Macaca mulatta: one gene and its partners. The protein of the gene in region 2 interacts with the protein of the main gene of each other region in a pairwise test. Links are inferred from orthologs where the notes say so. Each region holds a gene or a part of one and is shown on either strand. Other genes may lie near its edges.

The links.
Region 1: the proteins of TFIP11 (region 2) and GPS2 interact in binary tests that used the Homo sapiens proteins (3 or more experiments, as listed by UniProt). The two-hybrid records come from large-scale screens. The link is inferred for Macaca mulatta from reciprocal best matches to the Homo sapiens genes TFIP11 and GPS2.
Region 3: the proteins of TFIP11 (region 2) and OIP5 interact in binary tests that used the Homo sapiens proteins (3 or more experiments, as listed by UniProt). The two-hybrid records come from large-scale screens. The link is inferred for Macaca mulatta from reciprocal best matches to the Homo sapiens genes TFIP11 and OIP5.

What each region holds. Positions count from the first base shown.
Region 1 is NC_133421.1:8,805,003-8,812,559, reverse strand, and holds GPS2 (G protein pathway suppressor 2), read left to right. Parts: upstream 1-3,434; 5' UTR 3,435-3,541; intron 3,542-3,682; 5' UTR 3,683-3,751; coding exon 3,752-3,845; intron 3,846-4,205; coding exon 4,206-4,315; intron 4,316-4,399; coding exon 4,400-4,512; intron 4,513-4,643; coding exon 4,644-4,723; intron 4,724-4,814; coding exon 4,815-4,897; intron 4,898-5,078; coding exon 5,079-5,232; intron 5,233-5,330; coding exon 5,331-5,420; intron 5,421-5,509; coding exon 5,510-5,589; intron 5,590-5,676; coding exon 5,677-5,772; intron 5,773-5,956; coding exon 5,957-6,040; 3' UTR 6,041-6,136; downstream 6,137-7,557. Other genes in the region: NEURL4 (neuralized-like protein 4), read left to right, coding at 1-72, 209-353, 532-644, 735-900, 2,472-2,676; EIF5A (eukaryotic translation initiation factor 5A-1), read right to left, coding at 7,172-7,234. UniProt on the Homo sapiens protein: Key regulator of inflammation, lipid metabolism and mitochondrion homeostasis that acts by inhibiting the activity of the ubiquitin-conjugating enzyme UBE2N/Ubc13, thereby inhibiting 'Lys-63'-linked ubiquitination.
Region 2 is NC_133415.1:25,050,379-25,057,473, forward strand, and holds part of TFIP11 (tuftelin-interacting protein 11), read left to right. Parts: intron 1-1,230; coding exon 1,231-1,384; intron 1,385-1,700; coding exon 1,701-1,857; intron 1,858-4,147; coding exon 4,148-4,275; intron 4,276-5,136; exon of another isoform or gene 5,137-5,886; coding exon 5,887-6,039; exon of another isoform or gene 6,040-7,095. UniProt on the Homo sapiens protein: Involved in pre-mRNA splicing, specifically in spliceosome disassembly during late-stage splicing events. Intron turnover seems to proceed through reactions in two lariat-intron associated complexes termed Intron Large (IL) and Intron Small (IS).
Region 3 is NC_133412.1:18,676,078-18,683,949, reverse strand, and holds the start of OIP5 (protein Mis18-beta), read left to right. Parts: upstream 1-3,749; 5' UTR 3,750-3,796; coding exon 3,797-4,118; exon of another isoform or gene 4,119-4,202; intron 4,203-4,376; coding exon 4,377-4,443; intron 4,444-7,872. Other genes in the region: NUSAP1 (nucleolar and spindle-associated protein 1), read right to left, coding at 3,308-3,400. UniProt on the Homo sapiens protein: Required for recruitment of CENPA to centromeres and normal chromosome segregation during mitosis.

The sequences.
Region 1 (7,557 bases), on a different chromosome or scaffold from region 2:
CCGCTAGTCCTCTAAAGAGCTGCGAGTACCATGCCCTTTGCTCTCGCTTCCGAGAACTCCTGCTGCTTCCTGGTGAGTCCCGGTCCCCAGAACCGACTTCATCCCCAGGGCCAGGCCCAGAGCCGTGGAGAGCAGCTGAAGGGTGCCAGTGTGGCTGAGATCAAGGGTGGGAGCCACAGCACCAAGCCTGCTACTTACTGTCCCGCAGAAGATTATTTCATGCCTCCGCCAAAGCGAAGCCTGTGCTACTGTGAGTCTTGCCGGAAGCTGCGAGGAGACGAGGCCCACAGGCGCAGAGGGGAGCCTCCCCGGGAATACGCACTGCCCTTTGGCTGGTGCAGGTTCAACCTCAGGTACATACGGGCAGGGTCATGCCTTTCCCCTACTGTTTTCCCCCTGGAGAAATGGAGATCCCAAGAAGGTGCATGGAAGAAGTGATAGAACTTCCTGCCTAAGGAAGAGCCTCGTGAAGCTCCTCCACTGGGGAGCCAGTGTCCTTCGTTCTATCTGCCCTGCTTGTCCACCTCGTAGAGTGAATCCCCGCCTGGAGGCTGGGACACTAACCAAGAAGTGGCACATGGCCTATCATGGGAGCAATGTTGCAGCTGTACGGAGAGTGCTGGACCGAGGGGAGCTGGGAGCAGGTACTGGGGAGCAGGCCCATGCAAGGTGGGCTGAGCCTGGGGGGCTGTGGAGGAATAAAAAGGGCTATCTTGACCCAGTTCTCCTCCCAGGTACTGCTTCCATCCTGAGCTGCCGTCCTTTGAAGGGAGAGCCTGGGGTAGGGTTCGAGGAGCCTGGCGAGAACTGTGCACCTCCTCGGGAGGAGCAGCCCCCTCCTGTGCTGCTTTCCCCCTCCCTTCAATATGCTGGGGCCGAGACCCTGGCCTCCAAAGTGCAGTGAGTACTGGGAGGGGTGGGGAGAGATCTCCAGGGGCTCGGATGAAGAGGGCCTGAGCGCAGCCACTGGGGTCTTCATGATTTGCCCTCCCCTTTTCTCACCTCCTCTTGCTAGCTGCCAGTCTCCAACTCAGCCCTTTTTTCATTCATTGAACAAATACCACTTATATACTCTTCTAGTGGGCAAGAAAAGGAACCTTGCTCTTGTGGAACCTCTGCCTTTTCTCTCTATAATGTTCATACATAATAAGTATTTATTATTTATTTATTTATTTTTGAGACGGAGTCCTGCTCTGTCATCCAGGCTGGAGTGCAGTGGCATGATCTCGGCTCATTGCAACCTCCACCTCCCGGGTTCAAGCGATTCTCCTGCCTCATTCTCCTGAGTAGCTGGGACTACAGGCGTGTGCCACCAAGCCCGGCTAATTTTTCTAGTAGAGATAGGGTTTTGCCATGTTGGCCAGGCTGGTCTCGATCTCCTGACCTCGTGAGCCACCCGCCTCAGCCTCCCAAAGCGCTGGGATTACAGGCGTGAGCCACCGTGCCCGGCCAGTATTTAGTATTTTTAAAGGTAATAAGTAAGGACTATGGAAACAAAGAGTGGGGCGAAGGAGACAGCAGTGTGGCTGGTGTGGGCATCGTAAGAAAGAGTGGGGCGAAGGAGACAGCAGTGTGGCTGGTGTGGGCATCATAAGAAAGAGTGGGGCGAAGGAGACAGAAGTGTGGCTGGTGTGGGCATCATAAGAAAGAGTGGGGCGAAGGAGACAGCAGTGTGGCTGGTGTGGGCATCGTAGGAAAGAGTGGGGCGAAGGAGACAGCAGTGTGGCTGGTGTGGGCATCGTAGGAAAGAGTGGGGCGAAGGAGACAGCAGTGTGGTTGGTGTGGGCATCGTAGGAAAGAGGGGGGCGAAGGAGACAGCAGTGTGGCTGGTGTGGGCATCGTAGGAAAGAGGGGGGCGAAGGAGACAGCAGTGTGGCTGGTGTGGGCATCGTAGGAAAGAGTGGGGCGAAGGAGACAGCAGTGTGGCTGGTGTGGGCATCGTAGGAAAGAGTGGGGCGAAGGAGACAGCAGTGTGGTTGGTGTGGGCATCGTAGGAAAGAGGGGGGCGAAGGAGACAGCAGTGTGGCTGGTGTGGGCATCGTAGGAAAGAGTGGGGCGAAGGAGACAGCAGTGTGGTTGGTGTGGGCATCGTAGGAAAGAGTGGGGCGAAGGAGACAGCAGTGTGGCTGGTGTGGGCATCGTAGGAAAGAGGGGGGCGAAGGAGACAGCAGTGTGGCTGGTGTGGGCATCGTAGGAAAGAGGGGGGCGAAGGAGACAGCAGTGTGGCTGGTGTGGGCATCGTAAGAAGGTGGGAGAGATTCGAGCAAAGGCTTGAAGAAGGAAGTGAAGGGTGTAGCTGAGCAGGCTTTGGGAGGAAGAACATTTCAGGTAGAAAGAACAGCTAGAGTGAAGCTCCTATAAGGCGGGAGTATTTCCTAGGTACAGCAAGGCTTGTGTGGTTGGAACAGACTTTGCAAGGGGGAGGTGATGGGGAGAGAAGCTTCACTCCCTTATTTTTTCCTGTTTGACAGATTCCGGGACCCCAAATCCCAGCGGACGCACCAGGCTCAGGTGGCGTTCCAGGTGTGTGTGCGCCCTGGCTCCTACACCCCGGGACCCCCTTCCGCTGCCCTTGGAGAACCTCCTGACCCTCACTTCAGTCCAGCCGAACTTGAGTGGGTCACTAAGGAGAAGGGGGCCACACTCCTCTATGCCCTGCTGGTACGGGTGGAATGAGGGGTGACACACAAATACTACAAGCACAGTCGGGCCTCGGGCCCATGGACTCTGGCGACTGCCTCCACCTCATTCCCGTGACTCGTGGCATGCGCAGGTGCTGGAGCTTGGCAGCCGCGCAGGAGCATGTAGGCAGGCTCTCAGATGTAGGTGGCAAGTGGCACAGCTCCATGTCTGGAGGCCCAGCACTCCGTCTGATGGGAGGAGCCGTGGGAGCCCAGCTCCAGGCCCTGGTACCCCTCTTCATGCACTGATTTGGGGAACATGACTCCCTTTTACTCCCCTTCCCCACATCACTTAATTTATTTCCGTTTTTGTTTCTGGTTACTGTGAATCCCAGAGGAGTCTCTCCCTGTGCCCACATGAAGCTGCTTTTTCCGGGGCCACCGGGCAGGAGTGGGGAAGGGTGGGCGCACGGAAGATGGGGGCCTCTGTACAGTTGTTACTGACTCTGATTTCTAAGGAGCCAATAAACACCGTCTCAGAGCCTCCGCCTCGGCCTCTCTCTCGCGCGCCCCTCCCCGGAGCCCGCGTCCCCTGGGGTGCCACCAGGTGGGCCCGCGAAATTAAAGAGAGCTGAGGATGCCAAGACCAGTTTACAGCCCTCGTCGCCCGCGTTCCCGGCTACGGGGTTTGGACGCCGCGGGCACCCGTCGCAGCGCGCTTCCGCTTTCTTTCACCCAACCCGTGAGGTCGGCCGCAGCCGTGACTCCGGAAGGACTTGGCCGGGCCGCCGGATGTGACGTACGGGCCAGGGCGCGCCGGAGCTGCTGAGAAAGCGCAGAGAAGGCGGGTAGGGAGGGCTGGCGTCCGGGCTGGCTGGGCAGGGAGCGGCAGCACCGAGTCGGGGATCCCGGCGCCGCCCGTGCGCGCGGTGGAGCGGGGGCTGCGGGCCCGGCCGGGTGGCGGGCTCCTGGGACACGTGACCGGGGCGGCTAGCGGGTCGGGCGGACGGGCTTCCGCCTGGGCCGGGCGCGGTCCCCTCTGAGCGCCCGCCTCCCCGCAGGCGCCGTCTGAGGTCTGGCAGTCAGAGACAGAGCCGGGCGCCCACGGCCCGAGCGCCCACGGCAGCACCATGCCCGCACTCCTGGAGCGCCCCAAGCTTTCCAACGCCATGGCCAGGGCGCTGCACCGGCACATTATGATGGAGCGGGAGCGCAAGCGGCAGGGTGAGCCGGGGCCATAGCGGGGGGACACACGGCCCAGAATGGCTCCTGTACCTCAGGGTTGGCCTCAACCCAGCGGCCAACCAGTGAGCCCGCTGCCGAGCGCAGAGGAGGGAAGGAATAGCCCCGTTGTGGTGGGATTTAAGCGTCCTGGTCCACGCTCCAGAACCCTTGAGACGGGAAGGACCTTGGAGAGCACCTGATAAAGCCTCTCCGTTCCCTATTGCAGCGATGGGGGAGCTTGTCCCCTCGAGGCAAAGAGCGCACAGGCGTGTTGGGATGACTGGGTTTTGCTGGTCTTCAATCTAACGTTGGAACTGTTTTCACTACCCTGCCTCTTCTTCATTCTGCCTGATTCTCCAGAGGAAGAAGAGGTGGATAAGATGATGGAACAGAAGATGAAGGAAGAACAGGAGAGAAGGAAGAAAAAGGAGATGGAAGAGAGAATGTCACTAGAGGAGACCAAGGAACAAGTAAGCAGTCCCTTGAACTCTCCCAGCTTTGATTTCTTCCCTTGACTCTCCCTGCCTTCATCTTCTCTTCCCACTCCCTCCCAGATTCTGAAGTTGGAGGAGAAGCTTTTGGCCCTACAGGAAGAGAAGCATCAGCTTTTCCTGCAGCTCAAGAAAGTTTTACATGAGGAAGAAAAACGGAGGCGAAAGGAACAGAGGTGGGATCAGAGTGCTAAAAACTGAAATGGGGGCCAAGTGGAACTGGGATCAAGTAATAAAAGAACTAGTGTTTAATGGCGAAAGAGAAGGCATCTGTCCTTAGCTTTGACCTGCCTTCCTCTCACTCCAGTGACCTGACCACCCTGACATCAGCTGCATACCAGCAGAGCCTGACTGTCCACACAGGAACTCATCTCCTCAGCATGCAGGGTGAGGACTAAAGAGACCACCTGATGGAACCGGCCTTCTTACAGGTTGCAGCCTCCCATTTCAGCATCATGAAGCCCTTCTCCCTTTCTAGGGAGCCCTGGAGGACACAATCGCCCAGGCACCCTCATGGCAGCTGACAGAGCCAAACAAATGTTTGGACCCCAAGTGCTTACGGTGAGAGTAGGATTGGATGCCCAGCCCCTACTGCTTCCATCCATGCATCCTTGCCACCAGTATTCAAGTCACAAACATATCAAGCACTTAAGTTTAGGGGGAAATGCGGCATACAGATATACACAAGTCACTGGGTTTCAGCTTTCAAGTTTATAGGCGAATTCTCATTCTCCCTCCTTAGACCCGGCACTATGTGGGCTCAGCAGCTGCTTTTGCGGGGACACCAGAGCATGGACAATTCCAAGGCAGTCCTGGTGGTGCCTATGGGACTGCTCAGCCCCCACCTCACTATGGGCCCACACAGCCAGCTTATAGTCCTAGTCAGCAGCTCAGAGGTGAGTAATAGGAGGGATGGGGCTTGGCCTTCCTCAACGTCAAAGGAGGAATGCCATTGAGTAAAAGGTTTTAATGGCTCTGTCTTTTCCTTTCTCAGCTCCTTCAGCATTCCCTACAGTGCAGTACCTATCTCAGCCACAGCCACAGCCCTATGCCGTGCACGGCCACTTTCAGCCCACTCAGACAGGTGATAACATCCCATGCAGGAGCTCTAGCTCTCTGGGTCCTCCCCTCCCTGTTTCATTCTCATCTCACATGCCCCTCTTCCCCACGTAGGTTTCCTCCAGCCTGGTGGTGCCCTGTCCTTGCAAAAGCAGATGGAACATGCTAACCAGCAGACTGGCTTCTCCGACTCAGTGAGTATGGCACCTTGGGAGGTCAGGGTTAGGGATATGTTAAGGGGAGCTTCAGTATGCCTCAGGCCCTGACTCTGTTCTCTGCAGTCCTCTCTGCGCCCCATGCACCCCCAGGCTCTGCATCCAGCCCCTGGACTCCTTGCTTCCCCACAGCTCCCTGTGCAGATGCAACCAGCAGGAAAGGTAAGAATGATAATAAAGTTTACCTGTCAGAATCCTTACACTAGGGATCCAGAAAAGCAGGATTAGGTAGGACCGGTGGCCCACATCACCTGGTTTTTCTTCCTCTCTGGGGGTGGTTACCAGTAGGGCATTAAGTGGGAGAGTACGCCCAGTGACAAAGCCCTCTTTTCATCACCACCGCCAGTCGGGCTTTGCAGCTACCAGCCAACCTGGCCCTCGGCTCCCCTTCATCCAACACAGCCAGAACCCGCGATTCTACCACAAGTGACGATCAGATTATATCTTCAACATCATGCCCCCTGCCCCACTGTGGGTGAGGATACCCCCCGTGTGTCCCAGGCCAATAAAATCTACCTGCCACTGACCCTGGCTGCTGCTGTTTGTGTTGCCTCCCACCCAACTGTCTGGAATAGGTCAAGGCTGCTTGGGGGGTGGGGGGATGACTGGCAGGTCCACAGCAAGTCAGTGATAGACAGCGGGTTCCATGAACTCAGTGGCAGAGTTCAGTCTTTTTGTAGCTTCCAAATATACCCATTTAATTCAAATAAGCAGCTGAGTTGGGGGCTTCATATTAAACTTGTAGTTTTATTCAGGTTTGATTTTAACAAATGTGTCGGGGAGAGAGCCCGCAGGGAAGGGTAAAGCCCACGGGGGCAGGGCCCTCCCAGATGCCTGAGGAGGGGGCAGGTCCCCTCCCCTCTCCTCCTCTTCCCTCCCCATCTAAAGGGGTTTGGGGAGAGACACAGGCAGGGGAGGGGGCTGGTCCCCAGTCTGTTGGGGTGGTGCTCAGGGTAAAGGGCTATGGGCAACAGGGGACCAGACCAGGGCTGAGTGGGGAGGGCACAAGGACCATTTGCCAGAATCCACCACTTTGATTCCAGATTGAATTTAAAAAAAAAAAAAAAAAAAAAAAAAAAAAAAAAAAAAAAGACTAAACCACAAGCAGCACCCACCCCCTTCTCCCCCACCAGGGCTGTAGTGTGAGGGGAGAAGAGGAGGGCAGCTTCACCAAGGCCACGGCTTCGCTTGCTCCTGGCCAAGGGAGCTAGGTGAAGGGGAGGGGCTCCCCGACAGATTGAAGGGGTGGGGAAAACCAAAATAAAACGTCAAATAAATTTGTGTAGGAGGAGTCCAGCCTACAACCAGGCCAGAGCCGGGCCAGGCTGGGGGAGGGGGCCTCTGCAGGTTCAGAGGATCACTGCTGCCACCATCGCCACCCTAGGTAGGAGAGAGAAATTAGTAAGATAGGATAATACCTTCAACGGGAAGGATAGGGAGGACAAGGCCAGGCTAGGGGCACAAAGTAAGCCTGGAACAATTAAGACTAGAGCAGATCTGCTGAGGACAACAAAATGTGAAGGGGACAGTGAGGGATTTGTCACACTCACCTGGGAGCCAGTTATTTTGCCATGGCCTTGATTGCAACAGCTGCCTCCTCTGTCATGGCAGACAGCACCGTGATCTGGAGGAGCAAGAGAGAGAGCCAGGAGATGTCTGAGCTCAGGAAGAAACGTACAGAACAAAGCTGAGCACAAAAGCAGGGAGGGGGCCGGGCGTGGTGGCTCACGCCTGTAATCCCAGCACTTTGGGAGGCCAAGGTGGACAGATCACGAGGTCAGAAAATCAAGACCATCCTGGCTAACATGGTGAAACCCTGTCTCTACTAAAAATACAAAAAATTAGCCGGGTGTGGTGGCGGGCTCCTGTAGTCCCAGCTACTCAGAAGGCTGAGGCAGGAGAACGGCGAGAACCCGGGAGGCAGAGCTTGCAGTGAGTCGAGATCGC
Region 2 (7,095 bases):
TTTACAAGGCATCACTTTATTTGCTGTATTCCCAGGTTGTTTTTTTTTTTCTTCAAAACACAGTCTCTGTCACCCAAGCTGGAGTGTACAGTGGCATGACCTCAGCTCACTACAACCTTTGTGTCCTGGGTTCAAGTGTTTCTCATGCCTCAGCCTCCCGAGTAGCTTGGGATTACAGGCGTGCGCCACCACACCCAGCTAATGTTTTGTATTTTTATTAGAGATGGGATTTTGCCATGTTGGCCAGGCCGGTCTTGAACTCCTGGCCTCAAGCCTACCAAACTGCTGAGATTCCAGGTGTGAGCCACTGTACCCAGCTCCAGGGTTTTTTGTTGTAATTTTTTCTTTTTTAAACCACACAGTACAAATATATCAATTTTATTTTATACAAAAAGGATCTGAGGTTAATGGCTTAATGTAAATGCTTGAAGCAGTCAGAGTTTAAATCAATATATTTCATTTTACAGAGTTAATTTCTTATTTCTTAAGGGACTTTAGTGTAATTTTCTTTTTTTCTTTTCTTTTGAGACATGGTCTTACTCTTTTGCCCAGGCTGGGGCACAGTGACATGATTATAGCTCACTGCAGCTTCAACTTCCTGGGCTCAAGCAATCCTCCCATCTCAGCTTCCCGTGTAGTTGGGACCAAAGGCTTGCACAACCATGCCTGGCTAATTTTTATTTATTTTTTTATAGAGACAAAGCCTTAGTATGTTGCCCTGGCTGGAAATTTTCACATTCAATAAATTTAATGGATAGGAGCTTTTTCTGAGTTTGATTAATATAATTGTTATATGCTTTACGTTCGTATAATCTTTCAGTGGGTTTTATTTATTTATGATTATCCATCAAAATTTCTCTCTGCTCCTGTTGGATTTTTGTACTTGCAATAGTTTTCAAAACAAATGCTTTTTATGATAAATTAATTTTTTAAAATGTAGGAAAACTGTATTATCACATCATATTTTGGATTTATAATCAACCCTACATTGATGTGATAACTCTTCAGCTGTAGAGGAATATGTCAGATAAAATGTTAAATGTGACTACAGGAAGCCAAATCTGGGGTCCTTTAGATATTTTGACACATTAAAAAATGTGTTACTTTTTTAAAAAACCTTCCATGAAGTTCATTCTAAGGAGTTTTCAAGCACGTAGTTTCTGCAAAGGGATTGCTGCAGAGAGAAGAGTTATTTACCAACCCCGTGGGGCTTTGTTTCTGTGCCTGCAGGGCCCGTGACTACTCTGCGCCGGTCAACTTCATCAGTGCAGGACTCAAGAAAGGGGCAGCGGAGGAGGCAGAGTTGGAAGATTCTGATGATGAAGAGAGACCTGTTAAGCAGGACGACTTTCCTAAGGATTTTGGACCAAGGAAGTTAAAAACGGTAGAGTCTTTATTGCAGGATTGTGACTCCAGTAATATCCTTCAAATGTCATTGTGGCCCAAGCATTTTCTAGCCAGGGAGAAACTTATCTGGAATGCATTTTGTGAGTATCTCCTTTTGGTGGCAGGCTTCTGTGAGTTGTGAAGTGCGTAGTGTAGTCTCTTCCTTCCTGACACGTATCACACACATTTTTGGTTCTTGTGACCCTTTTCATAGTGCTGTGTAACTTAGACCATTTTCCTGTTGGCCAAGCTTTCTTAGATTTTTCTTCTTTTTGTTTTTCCATTAACTAAGCTTTGATTTTTCTTCTTTGCAGGGTGGCAATTTTAAGCCCAGCCAGAAAGGTTTTGCAGGAGGAACCAAATCTTTCATGGACTTCGGCAGCTGGGAAAGACACACAAAAGGAATTGGACAGAAGCTTCTTCAGAAGATGGGCTACGTCCCTGGACGGGGCCTCGGGAAGAATGCACAAGGTATTGCACTTTGGTCGTCTTGTGTGATGGAGGGCAGGCAGAGGAAAGGAGAGGGGCATTGGGAGAGGAGGTTTGCTTTTCCCTTTTAAAAGCACTTTCACTCTCTCTAGCCTGGTTTGCCAGCACAAGACATTTGCACTCCTAAGCTACCTTGCTTTATCAAAGCTCAAGTTAAATAAGTAATTGTTTCAACAAGAAGAAAAGGGTTAGGGTGTAAAATAGGCTGCAAACAGGTTGGAGACAGGCTTTTTTTCTGGTCCTGACCAGCTACTCAGGAGGCTGAGGCAGGGGAATCGCTTGAACCCAGGAGGTGGGGGTTGCGGTGAGCCGAGATCACACCACTGCACTCCAGCCTGGGCAATAGAGTGAGACTCAGTCTCTAAATAAATAAATAAATAAATAGAATAAATAAAGACAAAAATGAATTAGTTGCTAATATTTAAAAAACAGACAATTTCACCTAAAATTCTAGATTTTGCCTGGCAGTAGTTAGTTGAGGCAAGTGAGAGCTGCTCCTGGGACAATGGACATGGTCTTCTCTTGGAGGCAGTCTCCACGGCCCCCTGTTGTCTTCCACCCCAACCCACAGGAACTTTTCTTGGTCCCGAAGTCATTTGAGTTTGCCATCCCTACTCACAAGGGTTTTAGTTTTGCAGAAACGGTTATTTGTCCTTCAGGAATATCAGTAAAACATTGTGTTTAGCTTTTTTAATAATTAGAGCCATATGGCTGTAAAATTGGCTGAGCAAATCCTTCATTGGTTACTTCCATCTTCGTCTAGTAGCCCAGTCTCCTCCTGTCTTCTCATGGCCAGCCTCACTGAGACACAGCCCCTGTCACACTCTTATCTTCTTGAGACCAAAGCCTCTCAAACCAAACACTTGGATTCTTCCTACAAGAACATTTCCCCTTCTTCTTGAGCTATATCCTATGCATGATTGCCAAGTAGATATAATCAAATGTGTCCTCCATATTCAAATTTGAGTCTCTAAATAATAATATTACTTTTTGAGACACAGTTTCACTCTTGTCGCTCAGACTGGAGTTCTATGGCACGATCTTGACTCACCTGCAACCGCCGCCTCCTGGTTCAAGCGATTTTCCTGCCTCAGCCTCCCGAGTAGCAGGGATTACAGGCAGCTGCCACCACACCCAGCTAATTTTTGTATTTTTGGTAGAGACGGGGTTTTACCATGTTGGCCAGGCTGGTCTCGAACTCCTGACCTCAAGTGATCCACCCTCCTTGGCCTCCCAAAGTGCTGGGATTATAGGTGTGAGCCACTGCGCCCGGCCTCTAAATAATTATTAAAGTGAAATCCAGGTTATGTGTTGAAAACATTAGGTACATGAAAAATACATGAACTTAAGCAAGGATACGCTGAATGAGAATGAGGGGACAGCTTTTTTCCTTTTTTTGATACAAGGTCTCACTCTGTTACCTAGGGTGGAGTGCAGTGGCATGGCATGATCATAGCCTACTGCCGTCTCAACCTCCTGGGCTCAAGCCTGCCGAGTAGCTGGGACGACAGGCACACTCTGCTATGCCTGGCTAATTTTTTCTTTTTTTGTAGATGGGGTCTTACTATGTTGCCCAGGCTGGTTCAAGACCTTGGCCTCCCAAAGTGCTAGGATTACAAGCATGAGCCACCATGCCTGGCCCAGGGATAGCTCTTATTTGAGACTTCAGCTGTACTAAATGGAAGGGAGGCAGGGATGGAAAATTTGGAGGGGGGGCAACATCTTCATTGAAATGTTGTGGTCCTATTCGTAAACTCTTTTATGAGAAAAGCAACATTTATTTCTAGGGCTTAAACTTGTTATAAAAAAGTTAAACATAGGAGATAGGAACTCCTAAGTAAAATACATGAGTCTTATATTAAATTACAGCTTCACTTCAGTCAGAGTCAATATAGTATCTGAATTATTGCATTTTCCCTAATAGAGGCTTCCAAAGAAGTGAAGTGTAGAATTTAGTATGCTGGAGTTCTCGGTTATAAATGTAGTGTTCTGTTTTCTTGTCCACTGAAACAATCCAAGTAGAAATGGAAATCTATTTGGGATATAAATAAACCAGTCAGCAGACTGTTCTGTGGTAGCATAAATGCTCATAAGTTTCAAATCACAAGGGACAAGAGTAGTGTTCTGAGGGCAGAGAATAGCTCTCCTTGAGTAGCGTGTTATTTTGTGGAAGGAGCAAGAAACTGTCATTTCACTGAGTGGCTGATTCACATACATGAATTGCTGTGATCATAAGACTGTCTTTTTTTTATCTTTTGCTGAAATTCCTCAGGTATCATTAACCCAATCGAAGCCAAGCAGAGAAAGGGAAAAGGTGCTGTGGGGGCTTATGGATCCGAGCGCACCACGCAGTCAATGCAAGACTTCCCTGTGGTTGACTCAGAGGAAGAAGCTGAAGAGGTAACTGGAAGTCAGGAGACATGGGTGGGTGGTGTCCTGTCCATTTCTAATGGCTGTTCATTTATCCCTTCATTCTGTTAGTCCTCAGATGTTTATTGTACACGTACCATATGCCAGGTGCTGGGCTGAAGGCTAGGTGCACCATGATGAGAGGGCGCACGGTGGACAGAGAGTAAACAAGCAGCTATGGTGTGGAAGTGGCAGTTGAAATGGCAGAAGGTGCTAGGACCTGCCTAGACAGAAAATAAGGTTGGGGGTTGGGAGGTGGTGTTGACCTACTTTTATAAATAGGCTGGTCAGGGAAACCTTTGAGGAAAGGAAACATTTCAGTTGAGACTTGGCAGAAGGGTGAGCTGAGAAGCCTGAGGACACTGAGAGGCTCTGAGCTTGCCGGTTAAGAAACCATAAAGGAAGCCGTTGTGGTGGGAGGGTGGTACACAAAGCAGAGGGGAAGGAAGTGCATTCAGAGGGGTGGGCGGGCCACAAGATGGGCCTTGACAGCCATTTTTAGGTGCTTGGGTTTCATCCCAAGTGCAGCAGGGAGCCATCTGCTGGCAGCTGTGTGTCCCTTTTCCCCAGTGATAGAAGGGGCCAGCTTTGTTGATTGAAGTATTACTCTTTTCCCATTTGAATTTATGGGGGAAAGCAGGATGCTGCAAAGAAACACGTTACTCTTCTTGTCACTGACCTTTTGATGACACAGTCATTTGATAATGTGGGATTGACCACTCTGAGTCAGGGGTTCTCAGACTTAGAAGCCTACAGGTGCCAGGCACACCACAGAAGCAAGTAAGATGAGCCAGATGCTAGACAATAAAGAGTGGTGGGGACTGTGGCACAGAGGTGAGGCCTTAGCCTGTCTAGAAGGTAAATCTTTATTCAGCTCTAGGTGATTGTTGCTTATGAGGATGTGGGCTTAGTATTGCCTGATCCTCTGATTTTCCCAAAGTAGCCAGATGTGTAGATACTTTTAGAGAAAAAAATGACAAGTCTTAACCAGTATGAGAAAAACATAATGACAACTCCAAAACCAACTTCTGTGGGCTGGATTCTACTACCATCACGCTAAGAAAGTTTACAAATTTGCGTTGGGCCGCATTCAAAGCCGTCCTGGGCTGCGGGTTGGACAAGCTTGCCGTAGCTCCTCCTGTAGCTACGGCAGGTACATTTTGCAGACCCTGATTATAAGAGATACCTTTGCTTTGAGAGTTAGGACCTGCTTATTTATCTTCATTTTAAAGTGAGAAACAAGATTTTGTGTACTTAAAAAAGCGTTTACATTGCATTTCTAAGTTTTATATGAGGTACATTTAAACTAGTATAGTGCCTGCCCATAGTAGATGCTCAATACATGTTGTTTCCTTTATTTTTGTTTCTCCCTCCCGTCTGGTGCACCTGCCTTCTGAACCTCATTATTTGTAAGAGGGTAAATGGGGTCAAGGAGTTATCATTAGATAGTTTTGGTGTCATGCAGGTGCATCCTTTCCTTCCTTCATATAGAACCTGGAAATAAATCTAAGACAGTGAATGGTGACATCTGTTAATGGTCTTAGCTGTCTCACCTGTTGTAAAAAGTGGTTTGCTGCATCTGACTGTATCCTTCTGGTTCAGGAGTTTCAGAAGGAGCTGAGCCAGTGGAGGAAAGACCCAAGTGGAAGCAAGAAGAAGCCCAAATACTCTTACAAGACCGTGGAAGAGTTGAAGGCCAAGGGCAGGATTAGCAAGAAGCTCACTGCTCCCCAGAAGGAGCTTTCTCAAGTCAAGGTATGGGGACCTTTGGACACCTGGTACAGGAGCCACACCCCAGAATTAATCACTGAACATGTTCTAGGGTTTTTTGGATCTTCTAGCTAGGCTTTTTTTTTTTTTCTTGTACCTTGCTTTTCTCACTTATTTTATAGGAGTGTAATGAATACTATTAATATCATGTTCCTATTCATTACACTCCCATATTTAGTAATAGTTACCAAGTTCCTTCTCTGCCAGGCACTCTTCACGGCACTACACTGGTAAACCAAATGATGTTCCTGTGTTTCTGGAGCTTACATCAGTGAATTCAGTAACATTCTTATTATTAAAAACTCACTGTGAAGATTTATAATGAGTGTAGAATTCCAGAGGGTGGCTGTCCTATATTGCTTGATCCTACCTCCGTTGTTAGGCATTTAGCTTTTATCTGGTTTAGTTTGGATTTTTGACTGGTTAGTTTGTATATAAAACTTCGTCTTTGTTTGAGACATTTTTTTAAGGATAGAGATGTACATGTGCAATCACCATGTTAAATACAAAAGTACTTAAGACATTCAAATACTCAGAAGGTTGTATTAACTCTGTCTGACCAGGAGGGCAGGAGAGAGTTCCCAGGGCTCCTTAGTCAGCATTGAGTATTTTCTTTTTTTAAGATACATTCAATTTTCACTCACTGTTACGTGCATATAGTGTATTACGTTTTCCATTACTTTTCCAAGTAGTCAAAGAACAATGGTGACAGTTGCCTGTTGTCATTTGCTGTAGGATATATAGTGTGTCATAGACCTCAAAGCCTTTAGTGGGGTTCTCAAACGTGTGCTGTTATATTATCTGGACGACCTGATAAGAAATACGGGCGTCTAGGTGCCTCCCAGGAATTTTGAGTCTAAACTGAACCTCAAGACTTTTTTTTTTTTTCCTCCTCCAGTGATTCTAATGCTGGTGGTTCATGGATCACACACTTACTTAAAAAGTGGTGATGAATCATTCTGCTTCAGAAGTGCAGTCCATATTCACATTTCCTGTTTTCCTAAAATATTGGAATTAGCTCATTGCCTAGGTTGCCTTTGT
Region 3 (7,872 bases), on a different chromosome or scaffold from region 2:
GGTTGAAGGATCAGGCAGTATTCTATCAATTTCATCTACTTTCCCATGACCTATGTGGTAAAGTCATCAAAGGAGGGAAGGGAGCCAAGTTGAGTCAAGATGATAAAAAGTAATTATCTTCAAAAATAGGAAAGTTCATGACTAAGAAGAAAATGGGCCAGGTGTGGTGGCACGTGCCTGTAATTCCAGTTGCTTGGGAGGCTGAGGTGGGAGAATGCCTTGAGCCTGAGAGGTTGAGGCTGCAGTGAGCCCTGATTGTGCCACTGCAGCCTGGGCAACAGAGCGAGACTTTATCTCAAAAAAAAAAAAAAAAAAAAAAAAAAAAAAAAAAGGAGAAAGATCAAATGCCCACATTAAGGTTTAGAGTTGCATATGTAAAATAAGTTCACTCAACAAAGTTAGGTGTTTTCTCCAGCTAGAGTTAGCTGCAGAGGTATAGGCAAAGATTAAGCACATAGTTGGGTTTAATCAGGCTTGGGTTTTGCCAGGTGAGTATAGGGAGGTGCAAGGAAGTGGAAATAGTGCCAGAGTTTGTAATTTAAGCTGGTAAGAAAGGAAGTGAGGGCATGAGTGACAAAAGGACCAGTCGCCACACTAATAATAATAGTCGCCATACTAATAATTAGTCGCCACACTAATAATAACTGGTTCCTTCAATTTGCTTTACCATTAAGAGAAGTCTCTCAAAAGAGCTAATATTATCTCTTATAAATTTATTTATTATTATTATTATTTTTTAGACAGAGTTTCCCTCTTGTTGCCCAGGCTGGAGTGCAATGGCATGATCTTGGCTCACTGCAGCGTCTGCCTCCCTGGGTTCAAGCAATTCTCCTGCCTCAGCCTCCCTAGTAGCTGGGATTACAGGTGCCCGTCACCACGCCCGGCTAATTTTTGTATTTTTAGTAGAGATGGGGTTTTGCCATGTTGGCCAGTCTGGTCTCAAACTCCTGACCTCAGGTGATACACCTGCCTCGGCCTCCCAAATGCTGGGATTACAGGCGCAAGCCACCATGCCCGGCCATAAATTTATTTTTAATAATATCATACTAGTAAAATTATCAAGATTTGATTAAACTGAAATAGTATTTACACTATTATACTAGTATATTTATACTAGTAAAATTTATTTAATTTATTTAAATTGTAGTGTTTCATTTTAATCAAATCTTGATAATTAGAGCAATTTATAAATTTTTTTGCTACGTACTACAATTTCAAAAGGCAATTGACTTAATGAGCACCTGGGTTGTACCAAGAGTTTTTAATTTAAAACATCTTATTATGGAAAATTTCTACAAAAGTAGAGAGAATAGTGCAATCCCCCCATGTACCTATTAGCAGTTTCAGTAATTATTAACATTCTGCGTTCTTACTTCATCTAGTTTCCCTCTTTTTCCTTGAGTATTCTACAGCAAATTTTACAGGTATCGTAACATTTCACCTATAAATACTTGATATGGGCCAGGCGTGGTGGGTCACGCCTATAATCCCAGGGCTTTGGGAGGCCGTGGTGGCCGGAGGATCGCTTGAGCCCAGGAGTTCAAGACCAGCCTGGGCAAGATGGTGAAACCCAATCTCTACTAAAAATACACACACACACACAGAGTCAGGCAGATAAAGGAGAAAGAAGGTGATCTGAGGCCAAAGGGTCAAAATGAGCAATGGGACAAAGACAGATAAAAGTTCCAAGTGTTCAGGGATGCAGCCGTGGATAAAAGATTCTAGCTAGGCAGCAAAAAAGCCTAAGGAATTTAGGCTGAGATATTAAGGCTTTGTTTACAAAGTATAGGGGAGCCACAAACCACTATAGCCCAGAAATATCCACAAGGAAAACCCTTTGGTCATTCAGCCCCAACAGGCACTTAGGCCCTGATTATTTTGTTTAAACAATTTAGGCCGGGCGTGGTGGCTCACGCCTGTAATCCCAGCACTTTGGGGGGCTGAGGCGGGCGTATCATGAGATCAGGAGTTCGAGACCAGCCTGACCAACATGGTGAACTCCAGTCTCTACTAAAAATACAAAAATTAGCCGGGCATGGTGACACGCGCCTGTAATCCCAGCTACTCAGGAGCCTGAGGCAGGAGAATCGCTTGAACTCGGGAGGTGGAGGTTGTGGTAAGCCGAGATTGCGCCACTGCACTCCAGACCGGGAGACAGAGTAAGAGTCTGTCTCAAAGAAAAAAAAAAAAAGAAAAGAAAAACATTTGTGACGACTGATTTAGGCATTTATTCAGTGTCAGTATCATAGCCTGCAGGACAAACCTAGAGAGCATACAGCAGTATTATGTGGGAAGTCTCAACTATTAACAAAATATATAAAACCGCTATCCTACATTGAATCCCCAAATCTTCTAACATCTTGTTTTTTGTTTGTTTGTTTTTGTTTTGTTTGAGACTGAGTCTCGCTCTGTCACCGAGGTTGGAGTGCAGTGGGTGCGATCTTGGCTCACTGCCACCTTGGCTTCCCAGGTTCAGGCGATTCTCCTGCCTCAGCCTCCCGAGTAGCTGGGATCACAGGCGAGTAGCTGGGATCACAGGCGTGTGCCACCACGCCCGGCTAATTTTTTAATGGCCAGGCTGGTCTCGAAATCCTGACCTCAGGTGATCCAACTACCTTGGCCTCCCAAAGTGTTGGGATTACAGGCATGAGTCACCGCGCCCGGCCAATTCCCCTAACATCTTGTAGCCTCGGAGTCAAAGACCTTACTGGTTTTGATAGATACCATCACCACAACAGTCATCAATAAGCACATGAGTATACTAGATCAGGGCTGAGTTATAAAAATTTACCCAAGGAGGTGGTCCCCTAAAAGTAGATTTTTTCTTTCCCCCTGACAGGTCCATCAATAAAGTATCAAGAGATTATCGGCAATATTACAAATCACTGAAGTCTGTGTGGGGTTTTCTAGAAGCTGAGCCAATTATTTACTTAATTGTCTAACGATTAACGACACCCCTTCTGCTTTCTGGGCCTGCGTTTCGTAATCGATGACCTGAGAGGTATAAAGTAATTTCAAAAAAAAAAAAAAAACCACAAAAAACGAAAAACAACAAACCACCCCTCGGAACAGAGGCTTATCATGTGAGCACCCAGACAAGCCAGCTTCAAAATGAGGTGAAAACTACAGTTCCTCTTCCGTTTATCAGAGTTCTAACTGGGACCACCGTGAACCACATCTACTGCCCGAGGGGCAGGGACGGCTGCTTCAGTCCCCGGGCTTCCCGCTCGGTCCCTTCGCACCGCATCTCCCTGAGGCCGCTACTCCCGCCGCGCCCGCCCAGGGAACTGCCCCGCCAGCGTCGTACCCGCAGGTTGGCTCGGAGACCCAGACTCTTGGCTAAGTTCTGCAGGTCACTGTACTTGAGGGAGTCCAGCTCCTCTAGGGAGGGGATGATCATCGCGATTCAAAATCCCGGTGATACTCAGAAGATGGATCACCAAGTCTCGTAAGCGAGGTTCAAATCCCTGGCGCCACTCTTAACTTTGACTAAGCTGAAATTTATAGACAGTTTAAATGAAGAATGCCGCGCTTCCATTGGTTGAAAATGCCTCAAAGGCGGGGTTTCTAACCCTGACCAATAGAAAGGCTGATTTCCCGTCCCAACAGTCGCGCGCTTTTCTCACACTTCACGAATACGCAGGCGCCGAAGGGCCTGTAAGGCCGGTTCAGGTAACGAGTGCGCGGACTGGGACTCCAGTGCTTGGATTGCCCACGATGTCCAATGAGGACGCAGGAGCTGTGCTTGGGGCGGGGCCTGGCGTGTATTCGAAACGACGGCGCCGGCTGAGAGAAGATGGCGTTTCAGCCGCGGCGGCATCGCTCCCCTTGTGCAACGCCGCCCCAGGGTGACTTTTGTGATGGCACTGAGAGGGCGATTGACGAAGCATCTTTTACGACCTCCATGGAGTGGGATACACAGGTGGTGAAGGGGTCCTCGCCGCTCGGCCCCGCAGGGCTGGGGGCTGAGGAGCCGGCCGCCGTCTCGCAGCTGCCGTCTTGGCTGCAGCCTGAGAGGTGCGCTGTTTTCCAGTGCGCACAATGCCACGCCGTGCTCGCCGACTCGGTGCACCTCGCCTGGGACCTGTCGCGGTCCCTTGGGGCCGTGGTCTTCTCCAGTGAGTGCAGTGAGGCGTTCGGGAAAGGCAGAGGCTAGCCCGAGAGGTTGTTCCCGCCTTCTCCACCGGGTGGCAGAGAACCACCTGGGGAAGAAAACGGAATGAAAATTTGGAAGCACATAACTCCTTGGCCTGGGGATGGGGCAGGGAACTGGGGAGTCTCCTGACATTTATGGCGGGGATGAGTCTGTCTAGAGGAGAGATTTTCCATTTCAAGGCCCGCAGAGTATGAGTTCTGACCCGTGTTTGTGTTCCTAGGAGTTACAAATAACGTCGTTTTGGAAGCGCCCTTCCTAGTTGGCATTGAAGGTTCACTCAAAGGCAGGTACGTATTGATAATTACAGATTGGTCTCTAGTCCCTGACTTTATGAGACTGAGGAGCGTGGAACTGACATGTACTTGTTGAGCAAGTCTGTTGACAGCATTTCCTTTTTTTTTGTTGGTTTGATTTTTTTCTTTTTGAGATGGAGCCTCACTCTGTTGCCCAGGCTGGAGTGCGGTGGCGCGATCTCGGCTCACTGCAAGCTCTGCCTCCCAGGTTCACACCATTCTGCCTCAGCCTCCCGAGTAGCTGGGAAGGCATGTGAAGTCATGCCAAATTGTGAATATGAAGAAAAAAATGGGGCCGGGCGCGGTGGCTCACGCTTGTAATCCCAGCACTTTGGGAGGCTGAGGTGGGTGGATCACATGAGGTCAGGAGTTCAAGACCAACCTGACCAACATGGTGAACCCCCGTCTCTACTAAAAATACAAAATTAGCCGGGCATGGTGGCACACACCTGTAATTCCAGCTCTTTGGGAGGCTGAGGCAGGAGAATCACTTGAACCCGGGAGGCAGAGGTTGCAGTGCACTGAGAACACACCATTGCACTCCAGCTTGGGCAGCAAGAGCAAAACTCCATCAAACAAACAAATACATGGAAATTAAAAGTGCTACTCCAGTTATAAGCTGATATGGAGGAAGTTTGAGTGGTATGAGTAGAAGATCAAACCAGCCACAGCATTCCTTTAAACCAAAGCCTAATCCAGAACAAGGCCCTAACTCTCTTCAATTCTGTGAAGGCTGAGAGGTGAGGAAGCTGCAGAAGTTTGAAAGTAGCAAATGTTGGCTAGGTGCAATGGCTCATGCCTGTAGCCCCAGCACTTTGGGAGGCCGAGGTGGGTGGATTGCTTGAACCCAGGAGTTTGAGACCAGCCTGGGCAACATGGTGAAATGCTGTCTCTACAAAATACAAAACAATTTAGCCGGATGTGGTGGTGCACACCTATAGTCCCAGCTGCTTGGGAGGCTGAGAAGGAAGGCTGGCTTGAGCCATAGAGGTCGAGGCTACAGTGGAGCTGTGATTGTGCCACCACACTCCAGCCGGGGTGACAGAGCAAGACTATCTAAAAAAAAAAACAGAGGTTGGTTCTTGAGATTTAAGGAAAGAAACCTTCTCTATAACAAAAGTCCAAAGTGAAACAGCAAGTACTGATGCAGAAGCTGCAGAAAATGAAAGTGGGTACACTAAACAACAGATTTTCAGTGCAGATGAAACAGCCTTCTATTGGAAGAAGATGCCATCTCAGACTTTCATAGGTAGAAAGGACAAGTATTACCTGGCTTGAAAGGAGCTGGTCACAGTGACTCACACGTGTAATCCCAGCACTTTGGGAGACCAAGGTGGGAGGATTGCTTGAGCATAGGAGTTCAAGACCAGCCTGGGCAACATAGCAAGAACCGATCTCTACAAAACATTTAAAAATTAGATGGGCATTATAGTGTGCACCTGTGGTCCAGCTAATTGGAAGGCTGAGGTGGGAGGATCACTTGAGTCTGGGATGTCAAGGCTGTAGTGAGCTGTGATGGTACCACTGTACTCCATCCAAAAAAAAGAAAAAAAAAAGCTTCAAAGGACAGGCTTTCTCTCTTGTTAGGGGCCAATGCAGCTGATGACTTTAAGTTGAAGTCAATGCTCATTTACTGTTACTATCTATAGCTACTATAGATAGTTATTCCTCTGATGGATATGGGCAAAGTAAATTGAAAACCTTCTGGAAACCCAGCTAAATTTTGTATTTTTAGTAGAGACGGAGTTTCACCATGTTGACCAGGCTGTTCTCAAACTCCTGGTCTCAGGTGATCTGCTCGCCTCCCAAAATGCTCAGATTATAAGCGTGAGCCATTGCGCCCGGCCCAGTAAATTAATTTCCACTGACACATTTGTTTATAAGTACTGTGCTTTGTCTGAACTAATTAATTCCTACGTGGAATTTCAAATTAATGACACTTTATTTCACAGTTTGCTTTTTGGTTACCTATATTCACAAGATTACTATATGTGTGGTGTGGGACTTCATTTACCAATAAACCTAATATATTTTGTTATTTGTTCTTTTTTAGTATCCATTGACATGAATATTTCTTTTTAGCTATGTGTTTTTTGTTTTTTTTTTTTCTTTTTTAAGACGGAGTTTTGCTCTTGTCGCCCAGGCTGGAGTGCAATGGCACAATCTCCGCTCACTGCAACCTCCGCCTCCCCGGTTCAAGCGATTCTCCTGCCTCACCCTCCTGAGTAGCTGGGATTACAGGCACCCACCACCATGCCTGGCTAATTTTTGTATTTTTAGTAGAGACAGGGTTTCACCATGTTGGCCAGGCTGGTCTTGAACTCCTGACCTCTGGTGATCCACCTGCCTTGGCCTCCCAAAGTGCTGGGATTACAGGCATAAGCCATCATGCCCGGGCTAGCTATGTGATTTTTATGTTGTATTTTGTTAATAGAATTCTGCTAGCCTGGGAAGTAAGACCCCATTTCTTCCAAAAAAAATTAGTAGGGCATGGTAGCATGCACCTGTAATCCCAGCTTTGGGAAGCTGAGGCAGGTGGATCAGTTGAGCCCAGGAATTCAAGGCTGCAGGGAGCTATGATTGTACCACTATGTTCTGACCTGGGCAACAGAACAAGAACCTGTCTTAAAAAAAAAAAAAAAAATTCTTCATAGCATACTCTATATTAATATAATTAATTTTTCCTTTACCAAAGCACTTTAAAATTGCCTTTAGCACATGCATGATGAAATACTTTCTTAAAGTGCTTTTCTTTTAGAAAATTTTTTTGGCTGGGCGCGGTGGCTCACGCCTGTAATCCCAGCACTTTGGGAGGCCGAGGCGGGCGGATCACAAGGTCAGGAGATCGAGACCACGGTGAAACCCCGTCTCTACTAAAAATACAAAAAATTAGCCGGGCGCGGTGGCGGGCGCCTGTAGTCCCAGCTACTCAGGAGGCTGAGGCAGGAGAATGGAGTAAACCCAGGAGGCGGAGCTTGCAGTGAGCCGAGATCGCGCCACTGCACTCCAGCCTGGGCGACAGAGCGAGACTCCGTCTCAAAAAAAAAAAAAAAAAAAGAAAAAATTTTAATTTTATTTTGAGACGGAGTGTTGCTTTGTTGCCCAGGCTGGAGTGCAGTGGCACTATCTCGGTTCACTGCAAGCTCCGCCTCTTGGGTTCACACCATTCTCCTGCCTCAGCCTCCCGAGTAGCTGGGACTACAGGCGCCCGCCACCACACCTAGCTATTTTTTAATATTTTTAATAGAGACGGGATTTCACCATGTTAGCCAGGATGGTCTTGATCTCCTGACCTCGTGATCTGCCAGCCTCGGCCTCCCAAAGTACTGGGATTACAAGCGTGAGCCACCGTGCCTGGGCTGTTTATTTATTTTTTAAGACGGGGTTTTACCATGTTGCCTAGGCTGATCTTGAATTCCTGGG